Drosophila melanogaster: one gene and its partners. The protein of the gene in region 2 interacts with the protein of the main gene of each other region in a pairwise test. Each region holds a gene or a part of one and is shown on either strand. Other genes may lie near its edges. The genes, in order: CG43386, CG33655 and CG12699.

Region 1 (4,880 bases), on a different chromosome or scaffold from region 2:
CATATAGCATAATACCCTTCGCCAACATGTCGGGGCATAATTTGGCATTGCCCAACTGGCGGGGGGGTTATGCAACGGTTGTCATTATGCATTATGCGCTGGCTGCTATTTTTTCTTTCTTTTTTTTTTGTGTGGTTTTGCTCAGTTTTGGGCCATGGCATTAATGTCACCTGCTCATCGCTGTTCTGGCCACAATGACTCCGCTAAGTGCACGCAGGAAAAACAGAGAAAAAAAAATTAATAATAAAATTAAAATGGAAAATAGATATAGTGAAACGGGTAACAGGTCTATTGGGCACCCCCTTGCTTAACGAGTAACCGTTTACACGCCGCAAGTTGGGAAGACGGTCATAACCATTACCCATTAACCAATTCATTTGGACCGAGAGTGCGGCTCGTTAACCAGATGGAGGAGAAGCCAGCACTCGATTCCGCATCCATTTCCATCTAATGTATTCAACTCCGCCGCAGCAATGGGCCTCTAATGAACTGCTGATGGCTTTGCGCAAGTGTTTTACGGCCAGTACATTTGACATTTGACCAAGGAAATGTTTTTAAGACTGGGATTACTTATTAATAAATATCTAAAATATGCCAAAATAAATATGTGCCAGGTATAGGCAAGATATAAAAAAAAGAGGTACCATATATCTTTAAAACCAATCACTAAGCAATAGAACGTCTTGCCAAAGAATTGATATTTTTGTTTTAAGAGATACGTTCAAATGACTTTTAGTTGTTGTGTGTAGACAATCTCTAAAAAGTTGCAATTAACTTAGCAAATCCCACGAAGATTTGCACCACATGTGTAATACTCTAATGGAAAAATAAAGTTAATTCGGTTTATATTAAGACCGTTTGTAAGCCAATCTTTCGCATCGAGTGCTTTTGCTTTGTACCCAATAGCCGGGTCGAATTTAATTGGAAAAGGCGTTGCCGACAGACTAAATAACTGACCACCATTCACTGAAAACTCAGTCTGAGAATTAGTATTAGAATCGGACAAACGAACTTTGTTCTTGGCCAGGCAAAAATGATTCGTTTGATTTTGCGCAAAGGTTGCCGGAGATTCAGATTCTGCTGTCATGTAGCGTTTATTTGTTTGTTCAGCCATTATTGTAATTATAGTATTAATAAATCTCGCCACTGGCGGCCGGCGAAGGTCGCCCCGTAATAATATCATTTTGGCATTAGATATTTTGAAAGGCATTTCAAATCTGATCACTTTGCTTAATTGCCGTGCAGAACTTAGTGCTGTTAAATGAGGCGTAAATTGGAAATCACTTCTAAGCTAAACGAAAATGCCAAAGGCTTATGAAATTGCCAAGCAAATAAAACTCAAGAGTATTAAACATATTTTATAATAGGCAAAAACACTCCGGTAATAACATAAACAGTCATTCGCCCAGACCCGCATCAACTTATAATTTACTGCCCAGGAAAAATATCATCATAAAAAATGTGTGAAAATTCGTATAATACAAGATCTGCGATACGGACTTTAACGCTCATAATTGAAACATAAAGCCACAACATATCGAGTGGTGGATAAGAAATTTCGAGATTTGCATATTAATCGGCCCGAAAAATATAAAAGGGTGCATTGTTTAACGGCCATAAGTTTCTACGCTTTTCGATATCGGGTTGCCACAATCGATTTGCATAACTCTCCCGAAACAACCGCACAATTTGGAGCGTCGCCTGGTCAATAAACTTATTGACCGACTTAGATATGACACCTGCATATATATCTTTTTGTTTATGAAGAGACGCAACCCCCCCCCCCCCGCCGGTTTGCCTTCGGCGGATTTCCAGCTCGACTGCTCCACTTTCATGGCGTTCACTTTCGCTTTTTTCCTCGTTTTCGATTTTATTTATTTATTTTTTATTTTGGCCCAGCTATCATCACTGAGTTTTGTTATTGCTTATGCCTTAGAGTTGATGGCTGATAGCTTTTAGCTTTTGGCCCAAAGCGCGTTGATGGCTAAACTGGCTGCTGTATCTTGGGCTAAGGCTTATCTGGCCAGAGCCATCGATTCGACGAACGACCTTGAGACCGTTACCGGTTTCTTTGGGCCAGGCCACTCTTGCATGGCCCAGACAAGTTGGTGATTTTTTTTGTTTTTTTTTTTAATTTTTGAGTGTCTTTTTAGCTCTGACTCTGGTTCATCCTCAATCATGACAGCGACCAGGGGTCAGGCCGAATATGAGTAGTAGGTTACCAGGTAGTTAACCCCGAAAATTCAAATGAAATGCGAATGAAATAGAGTAAAAAGGAAAGTTCCCTCAAATCACTTCCCTATAAAAACAAAAAACCTTTTTAAAATGTATGTAAAATTTGTAATTTATATAGCATTTTAAGTAGCACGTCAACCAGTAAATGTTGGACACCATCCATATAGCTTAATATAATCAACAATCAAATATGACACTGAACACAAAGCGTAAGTCATAGGAGAACAATAAAACTCTCCCTTTTTTCGGCTTACGATTGGTTAGGCTCTTGTTAATTGATTTATGAAGCAATTAACGCATTTGAATCTTCACTTTTGCATTGTTGACGTCGGCGCTGTTGCCAAATTTCGGTAGCCAAAGCGATTAATGGACGAACGCTAACCAATAGCGCCCCCCCCCTCTTCAATAACCCCCTCCATTAATAGCCCCCCGTAGTGTTGTTTGTTTTTGGAACAGACCTGACCTATGCCAGCATTTTCAGTTGAGGCTTAGCCCAGTTAGCAAGTTCGTTGCCTAAGTCTTTCGTTTTGACATACATTTTGAGCTGGGATTGTCGCTTATTTCCCTTTTTTTCGGCTTTCAGCCGCCTTATATACATACTCACCCGAAATATAATAAAATAAAAATGCGGCTTGCCAAACTTAATTGCAATGCGAACTCTCCGAAGCACCCAAATATATAATTGAGTTCATAAACAATTTCAAAATGCAAATAAACCAGCACAAACACTGAGCGCACAAGAAAAACACAAAACAATAAACACAACCTGAAGTTTTTCAAATTAAAAACGCGACAACTAAACGGCCCGCAAAATGTCACTTTGTCTTGTGAAAGATTCACGCATAACTGAAAACTGAAACTCGCCGCTAAAAAAATATTCAGCCCACTTCAAAAAAAAAAAAGAGAAAGACAGAATGAGAGAGAGAGAGAGAGAGCAGGCGGAAGAGAGAGAGCGAGAGAGTCAGAGAAAGCACCAGAAGTAAACAAGTAAAAGCATTTTAATGAAACCTGTAATCAGTAGAAAGTGACACAATGCCCGCTCCATTGGGCAAGCTACCAAGTAGTTGGCCCACGGAGAAAGGTTCAGGGAAAACTCTTGGGTCAAGAAGATCCAAAAATATTCGCTATTAGGCTATTGGGTTACAAAATATATATTAATTCTATCTTTTTAATTTAAATATTAGTTAATTAAGGTATTGCCAAATGTATTTAAAACTAATTTTTGAAGCGAAACTCCTGAGCCGAAATCCGTAGTTCATTCCCCTGTTCTACCTTCCACTGAACTTTAGTTTGAGGAAATGAACCCAAACAAGCTATTTCACCCCTCAACCTTTACTTAGTTTTTACTTCCGCTCATTGCGAGCTTTCGCTTTTTGCGTTTCCATCCAGTGATTTGCCCCACCGCATCCTTGGGGGAGTGGTTCATTGCAGTGGCTCCCACTGAATTCCATCGGATCTCTTGCATCAGCCGCTGTCCAAGCTGTTACGCCACTTGATTTAGAGCCCCTCTTTTACGCTTTCTTAGCTGCCCAAGTGACCAACAAGTCTTTCTCCTCACTTCTTTATTTATTTCGGTTACGAACTAGCAAAAAAAAAATGGGTTTAACACAAACGATTAACGTAACTATGATTATGTGATGACTAAGCTGGCTAGAATGGCTCATTATGGTAGGGGTTCCAAGATCTATGGTGATCTGCCGGCTTGGCATGATGACCCATGCTGCTGCTGGCGAAAATATTCTTGGCTGCACTCGAAGCTCCTCCAGCGGCTCCCAGACCGGCATTCAAAATCAATCCAAGGGCATTGCTCACCAGATGGGAGGCCACTTGCTTCACAAATCCTCCAGAATCAAAGTTATTTGCCGCCGCAGCTGCCCATCCACCGCCCTCCTTCTTCTTTCGCGGGCGTGGCAACTCCGCACTTCCGTGTCGCTCCTCTGAGCCGTCCTCTGAAATTGGTCGAAACTTTGCCTCCAGGAAGCTGGTGATCAGGTTCTTGGTGAAGGTCAATGGTTGCGGTGGGCCCTCCTCCTCGGGATCCTGTTAAAGATTGTAGAATGTTGTTTATTGCACTCGCTAAATAAATGACGTTCAGGGGTTAGTAACACAGTTATGAGGTTGGGATCTAGAAGGTAAATATATATATAAGCAAAATATATAAATACAGCGCTCAATGCGGCCAGCACAGTGCCCAAGAAGTTGCCTATAAACTGGCCATTGTTAATCTGGAAAAAATAATATATGCAAGTAAAATGACTGGAAATTCATGAAAATAGGTTTGAGGAACCCACCGCTCCACCACCTCCAGAGAGACCATCCAAAGCAGTGCCCACATATTGTCCCAACACGAGGCCAAAGTTCTTATTCCCGCCCAGAAGACCAGAGATCAGCGAGGTTCCCGTTTGAATCAGACCTTGCACATCTAGGCCTCCAGGCTAAAAGATAGTTTTTCTATTTAAATACCCTTGATTGATTGGAAAACTTCAATACTTACTCCAAATAAAGTGGATATCACACCGGTAAGGGCACCAATTAAGGCACCCACATCGGAACCACCTTCACCCTAAATAAATCCATTTTAAATAAATATTTATGGGTTTCTTAGCCTTCCACTTACACCGCTCAGGCTGCTAATGATGCCAACC
Region 2 (4,442 bases):
GGCCATCAGAGTGTCTATGCATCCTGGTCCTCGCACCAGTTTCGATAAGCTCCAGAAAATCTCGGCTGCCCTGCGTATTGGATCTGGCGAGGAGTATTCCCAGCTGCAGGCTATCGTCTCCAAGTTGGATCTGGTGGCACTTAGTGGTGCCCTTTTCAGCTGCGATGATGAGGAGAGGGATCTTGGCAAAGGTGGCACCGCCTACGACATTCCCAACTTTGGAAAGATCGTTTACTGCGGATTGCAAGGATTCATTTCCCTGTTGACGGAGATTTCGCCTAAAAATGACTTGGGACATCCGCTTTGTAACAATCTGCGCGACGGAAACTGGATGATGGGTAAGTTTGTAAAGATAGAGATTTATGTAGTTACTTTACAACATAATTCTTTTCAGATTACATTTCTGATCGCCTAACTAGTTATGAAGACCTGAAACCACTCTCCGCCTGGTTCAAAGCTACCTTTGAGCCACTGAAGAATATTCCACGCTACCTCATACCCTGCTACTTTGATGCCATTGTCAGCGGGGTTTACAATGTGCTCATCAACCAGGTCAACGAACTAATGCCAGAGTATGTCCATTAGAGCCGACTGCATTCATGGAGTTTTTATTAAGTCTTTAATTTTTACAGCTTCATTAAGAATGGCCACAGTTTCCCACAATCCCTGGCCCTGTCCACGTTGCAGTTCCTCTCCGTTTGCAAGTCGGCCAATCTGCCGGGATTCAGTCCTGCTCTAAGTCCACCCAAGCCTCCAAAGCAATGTGTGACTCTATCTGCTGGTCTGCCGCATTTCTCAACGGGTGAGTTTATCTATTATATTTAACAATCGAAACGGAATAATGGAATATTCAACCATTTATGTAGGCTATATGCGGTGCTGGGGCCGTGATACCTTCATCGCTCTGCGTGGCTCCATGTTCCTCACTGGCCGTTACAACGAGGCTCGCTTCATCATCATTGGATTTGGTCAGACCCTTCGACACGGACTCATTCCGAATCTTTTGGACAGCGGCAGCAAGCCGAGATTCAACTGCCGCGATGCTATCTGGTGGTGGATGTACTGCATCAAGCAGTATGTGGAGGATGCCCCCAAGGGTGCCGAGATCCTGAAGGACAAGGTGTCCCGCATATTTCCGTACGACGATGCCGATGCCCATGCTCCAGGTGCCTTCGACCAACTTCTCTTCGACGTGATGCAGGAGGCACTGCAGGTGCATTTTCAGGGCTTGCAGTATAGGGAGCGCAATGCAGGCTATGAGATCGATGCGCACATGGTGGACCAGGGCTTTAACAATCAGATCGGAATTCACCCGGAGACTGGCTTTGTATTCGGAGGCAATAACTTCAACTGCGGCACTTGGATGGACAAAATGGGATCCTCACAGAAGGCCGGAAACAAGGGACGTCCAAGTACGCCGCGCGACGGATCAGCCGTGGAGCTCGTTGGCCTCCAGTATGCCGTACTCCGGTTTATGCAAAGCCTAGCCGAAAAGGAGGTTATCCCGTACACCGGCGTGGAACGAAAGGGTCCATCGGGCGAAGTGACCAAGTGGAGCTACAAGGAGTGGGCGGATCGCATCAAGAACAACTTTGACAAGTATTTCTTTGTATCCGAATCGGAAACCTGCTCGGTGGCCAACAAGAAGCTTATCTACAAGGACAGCTATGGAGCCACCCAGAGTTGGACGGACTACCAGCTGCGATGCAACTTCCCCATCACCTTGACCGTGGCTCCCGACCTGTGCAATCCTCAGAATGCCTGGCGTGCACTGGAGCGCGCCAAAAAGTATCTTCTGGGACCGCTGGGCATGAAGACGATGGATCCCGAGGACTGGAACTATAGGGCCAACTATGACAACTCAAATGACTCCACCGATTGCACTGTAGCCCATGGCGCAAACTACCACCAGGGGCCGGAGTGGGTATGGCCCATCGGTTTTTACCTGCGGGCGCGCCTGATCTTCGCCAAAAAGTGTGGCCATTTGGACGAGACCATTGCCGAGACCTGGGCCATACTACGGGCCCATCTCCGAGAGCTACAGACATCCCATTGGCGCGGATTGCCCGAGTTGACCAACGATAATGGCTCCTACTGCGGTGACTCCTGTCGCACGCAGGCCTGGAGTGTTGCTGCCATTTTGGAAGTCCTGTACGATCTGCACTCCTTGGGAGCAGACGTGGCCTAAACCACCGTAAATACTCATATTCAAACCTGTTAGTTGCTACCAAAAACTGTTATTAGTGTTACGTTTGATAATTGTACGGATACAAGATGGAATGAGATTCGATGCCTGAGGTCCCTTGAAATTTTGCTATTCCTATTCTATTAAAGTTGCAATTGTTTTTAAGCGTTCTTTTTCGTCTAAGAGAAGTAACTATCTCGGCACACACGCATGCAGGAGCATTGGGGGGGATCGATGGAGCCAAAGTTCTTTCGAGGCATGTCCCGTCCCGTATATTTTGGAATGGTGTTAGCCTCGGGAATCGTTGGAGCTTTCATTGGTGAAACCGCTTCCTGGGAAATAGGCTTGACCGGAGGTAGAGGCTTTTCACGCTTTGCTTTCGATTTACCATCCTCTATTTTCAGCTTAAATAGAAATTAACCATTGCGATATAAATATTATTTTAAAAATATTACACCTACTCACTTTGCCACATTTTCTCAAGGCTAAAATGGCTGCCTCGCATGTTAGATCGTAAGCTTTCTGCAACACAACTTGTTGGATAACATCAAGGACGATGGACATTTTGATGGAATTACAAAAAACCTGGGCTTCACATACAATTTTGCTAGCAACTCCACGAGAAATTTGACACAATATTCCCAAGTCATATGAACTGTATATAATTTGTATATACTTCTAGTCTACAGTTTCTTATAAACTAAATAAATACATGTAAAGGTTATATACATAAAGCTTTGCATAGTTGTAAACTATCCGCATTACGTCTGCAGCGAAGTTTGGGTTCCATTTGGACTCGCTTGGTAGGATTCGTTTTCAGTAACTATCTCGACGTCATCATCTTTGATGGATTTGAGATCGCGTCCAATACTTTCCATGTTCAAGCTCAAGGCAGCTGCAGCCACATTATTATTCACTTCATCCAGCTTGGGCTGGCGTAGGCAGTTCTCGTCGTTTGAGGCCTCACGTTTAACCCTTGCCGGTGGCTGCTCTGTCGCATCCGCCGAACTTCGCAGATTGAGCAGCTCCCGGCGAATGGCCTCTACATTGTCTTCAAGGTTGGGTTTCTTGATCTCCGAGTCATTCGATGATTTCGGCTGAGTAGAATTCACCATTAGGGCTAGTGGAATGGGCAATCGTTTGATAAGCGCTTCTTTATCTACGGTCGAATTCCTGAGTAACTCTCCGGTTTTGTAGGATAGAGGTTCAAAAACGCCGGCATGGGCCTCCTTTTCATCGCGCAAATGTGTATTTTCCGTGAGTATGTCCATTAACGATGCCTGCCGCCTTCTCTCCTTCTTTTCGTCCGCAACTGGCTGCGACTCCTTAAGCTTAATTTCAGCCTTCTTCGGTTCCTCGGCAAATTTCGCACCAGTATCCAAAGGCTCATCTTTCTGTAACTCCAAAGGTGGCTGATTAAATGAATTTTTCTTGGCCAACTCTTCGTTTAGCTCCCCAACGGTTTTCGCCAATAGTTTTTTGGTCTCCTTTAATTCCTTTTGGGTTTTGAGTAGCTCATCTGCATTAGCCTTACTTTCCTTTTGCTCTTCGGCAGCCACGTCCTCCTCCTTCTTGATGGCCGCTCCATCAATTGTATTGCTTGCTGATAACAAGCTCGATCCAATTTTTGGTTTATCTGGAAGCGATGCAGCAACAGCAGGCGGATTATTCTTGGGCTTATCCACGGTAAGGTTGACATCGAGTGGTTTGGCTTCTGGTGGGTTTGCTTCTACGGCTTCTACTGGTAGTTTTTTAATATCCGTTTCAGAATTTTTACTATCTATGGGAACTACATGGACTTCATCGATGGGCAGTGGTGGCAACGGTGGGTTGTCGGAGGAAGCTGATTGCACTACCTCCGGCATATCAACAACTTTATCCTCAACGGTTTGTTTTAATTTGTCTGGATTTTGGACATCCAGTTTCTTTAACAATAGGTTCTTTTCACTGTCAATGGATTCTTTGGCCAAATGTTTTGGTAGCTCGCCGACGACAGCTGGCACTTGGCCATCGGGATACAGAGGGGTGCCTATGGCAACCATATCAAACTCCGGGCCGGAGCTCTTTTCATCAATTGCACTTAGGTTCGCATACGTTCCCAGGATCATCAATAGAAATCCACTTACGAATACAAACTGGGCAAGCGTACGTTCCATAGATTCCTTTTTGATGATTTTTCGAAAACTGGATGCGGGGAACATTATACAAATGGCTACGCCAATGGTGGAACCCACCAAGCCAATTATAAGCTCCACGG
Region 3 (3,264 bases), 4.1 Mb from region 2:
TGCCAGGGATTAGACTTCCAAAATCTTTGCTTCTGGAGGCGCAACTGTTTGGCCAACCGGAGCACACGCAACTTGACCCAAATGACTCTGGTGGCATAGACGGCAACTCCGGCTGCCGTCAACCATGGGTGTTGCATCATCATCCGGGCTCCGGAAGTTGTGGCGTCCGCATCGCGAGGCGTGGTATCGGGAACTGGCACGGCAGCAACCCCTTCAGAATCTGTGTCCTCAGATGCGGACTCACTCATGTTGTATTTCCTGCCTGGTAAAGGGAATTAATCACAATAATCTTATATAAAAGCAGTTTTTTGACAGTTAGGTGTATGGTATCGAGATGACGTGAATCCAAATTTGTTCTTGAAAATCTTAACACAAAAGTAAAGCCCTTGGATGACCACACCGATACGAAAGAATCTGTTGCCATATGGGAAAACTGAAATCGAACCTGCCCATGTGTCGTAGTAGACGATTTCTTATTTCCCCCTCCCAAAACGAATTGCTCTTTGTTAATAGGGTACCATACTTTCATCGCAGCATTTAATATAAACTCATAAAAACTAATTCAAATATCGCAATGTGGTACAAGAAATTTGGTTAATGTTTTAAAACTAACAATTTGTGTCCCCCAATGTGGTGGTACATGTCAAACATTGTCCGTGGATCCTCCCCTACGGAAAACGCAAGCATTACAACAATTAGTGTAGTTGTCCAGTGTGTGTGTGCATGTTCATCCTTCCGCGGTCCTTCATCCCCGATTCGAACATCAGCAGTCAGTAGAGACTTCGATCGGGCGATGGCATATATCCACACGGTTTGGCTCGAATCCCGGTCCCTCTGCTGCATCTTCGACTTGGGGCCCGACGACGTCTTCGTCCTCTGCATCTGATTCTGCATCAGATTCTGCATCAGATTCTGCATCATATTCTGCATCAGATTCGGAAACATCTTCATCAATAGTCTGCAAGGGCTTAGACTGCTTCGCCAGTTGATTTTTGAGCCGTTTTTCCTGTTTAGCCAGGCCGATCTCACGGAACTTGACCCACATGACCTTGGTGGCATACATGGCCACTGCGGCGGCCGTCAGCCATGGGTGGATCATCATCATGCGGGCACCAGCTGTGGTTGTATCAGCATCGGATGTAGTGGTATCTTCTTCTTCAACAGCCTCACCCGGAGATCCTGGGGCTTCTTCTTCTGACATTTTGGACTGCAAGAAAAAGAGAAGTTAAATTTCTACCGTGTACATTTCTAAAAAAAAAAAAAAAGAATATGAAATTTTTTTCGTTTTTACTTGCCTGTTGGAGGTGAAAAAACGGCTAGGTCGAAATGAATTTATCTTATAGTAATAGTTGTTAACGGTTGGGGTGATGGCGTTGGAATGAATTGTTATACCGGCTAGGTGTTCCAGGTCTTGGCATTTCGAAAAATCGGCCTGCTGAGGTTGAATTTAAAACCGTTCAAGTAGGAAGTACAATGGGATGGAGGGAGTAAATATTAAGTAAAAAGTAAATAATATATAAACTTTTAAAATACACGAAATTCTGTTGCCTACTAATAGCAAATTGATTTTGAGCTTGCTGGTTTTTTAGGAGATCAATTCTGCGCTTATTTAAGCGTACATTTGACCGCACTTATTCAAAATAGCCCATAGTACTTTCGAAAGGCCTGCTAAAGTTAGCTCTGAAAATTGGATTCAAATGGTTTTAAGCCTGCAAAGCCATTTGGGCCTGCAAAACTAATGACGTCTGTAGAATATTCTAGATGAACTGGCACTCTCCATCGTTTTATCTCTGCTGACTCCTCCAGTGTGGTGTGTGATTTATATTTCATAAGTTGATGAATTTTGTAACAAGTTGTCACATTTGCCAGCTGAGAGTTGTAGTCAGCCCCGGTTCTCCCTTAACCCACCAGCTCCCCCTCCACGACCCTATCATTTCGGTTCCATCCAAGCGACAAATGACACAACGCAAACAAATGCAATTTGCATTTGCATTTCGGCGTATACGTACGTGTGTGCTTGTCTGAGTCGGTCTGCACATATGTGTGTGTGTGTGTGTGCGTACCGGGTGGTGTTAATTTCATTCACAAACATTTCAATTTCGTTGCCAGTTTTAACTTAAGACACACAATAAACTCTATTAAAATATCTTTGCTTAACATACAACATACTTGTACTTCCTCAAAATTTAGTCTTATGAGGTAATCAATTTGTTACTTTATTGCGCTTCTAAAAAAAAAAGACAAATAAAAAAGCAAAAAATACTTTAAAAATATTCCAGTTAAATATAGCCTTAATATCTGAAGAGTAGTAAACACAAATATTCCTCAAATAGTTTTTACCATTCTTTTAAGTGATCTACAGTCTATTCGATTCAAGGTGTCACGACCATAAATTCGTCTCGATTCCGACTCGATTGGCTGTGGATTGTTATGTGCTGGGAAATCATAAATGTGCAACGAGGCGTATGAGCAACACACGGAATCCATCTCGACCTGCCACAGATGTAAATTTTGATCGATGTCCAATGCGTAGCTGAAACTGAGAAACCACTAGAAAGGCAACTTCAGTTACGTTGCCAATTGGCTCGTCAATCTGTGTATATTCGCCGATAGGATGGATATCCTTTATCCTCTGTAAAAAATTATTCAAAGCTTATGATTATTTATGCATTGACATGTATTTAATGCGAAATATAATATATATGGCTTATAGTGGCAGACTATTTTCTTTTTGTGCCACTTGGCGATTAAATCATATGGCGAGAACAATGAGTGATATTTCACGAGGTCTGCATAATTTACCGCTCCGGAAGTCGCCGCGGATGTTGAGAGTTTAAATGCGGCGTTTGTTTTTCCACCCGCTGCCTATCCATTCCTATCCATAAGTAGGCTACACCAGGCGACTTGCACTGCGTTTTATTATCCTCACTTTTTTACAACGCCTGCATTGTTAGCCTGCTGCCTTTGCTGTGCCCTGCTTCTTTTATTTCATATATATATATTTTTTTTTGGCTGCAATTTTATTGTTGCACAAAGTTTCCAATTGCACAATGAAAATGGAAAGGGGAAAACCACCCTCGAAACTTTCGACCCACGCGCCCAAAGTTGTCAGGGCTTGCAAATGCATTAAAACAATGCCAAAATTCGGAGGCCCAAAAAAAAGAGAGAAAGTGCTTTACCAAAAAAAGCATATGAAGCCGGTAGATAGTAGACGAAAAAGGCTGCTATATAACTAGGCAAATATTAACTTCTGTCTGTCATCTG

Evidence for each region.
Region 1: the proteins of CG33655 (region 2) and CG43386 interact in a two-hybrid assay, tested with the Drosophila melanogaster proteins (one large-scale study listed by BioGRID).
Region 3: the proteins of CG33655 (region 2) and CG12699 interact in a two-hybrid assay, tested with the Drosophila melanogaster proteins (one large-scale study listed by BioGRID).

Annotation. Positions count from the first base shown.
Region 1 is NC_004354.4:9,974,320-9,979,199, forward strand, and holds the start of CG43386 (uncharacterized protein), read right to left. Parts: upstream 3,087-4,880; 5' UTR 2,840-3,086; intron 1-2,839. Other genes in the region: CG15252 (uncharacterized protein), read right to left, coding at 3,886-4,275, 4,401-4,460, 4,527-4,670, 4,730-4,798, 4,853-4,880.
Region 2 is NT_033778.4:21,317,215-21,321,656, forward strand, and holds CG33655 (uncharacterized protein), read right to left. Parts: upstream 2,804-4,442; 5' UTR 2,750-2,803; coding exon 2,651-2,749; coding exon of another isoform or gene 2,647-2,650; intron 2,590-2,646; coding exon 2,365-2,589; 3' UTR 2,189-2,364; coding exon of another isoform or gene 867-2,188; 3' UTR 803-866; coding exon of another isoform or gene 633-802; 3' UTR 579-632; downstream 1-578. Other genes in the region: CG9485 (uncharacterized protein), read left to right, coding at 1-338, 395-572, 633-802, 867-2,188; CG30394 (uncharacterized protein), read right to left, coding at 2,947-4,442.
Region 3 is NT_033778.4:17,246,022-17,249,285, forward strand, and holds CG12699 (uncharacterized protein), read right to left. Parts: upstream 1,363-3,264; 5' UTR 1,296-1,362; intron 1,208-1,295; 5' UTR 1,202-1,207; coding exon 764-1,201; 3' UTR 509-763; downstream 1-508. Other genes in the region: CG18469 (uncharacterized protein), read right to left, coding at 1-248.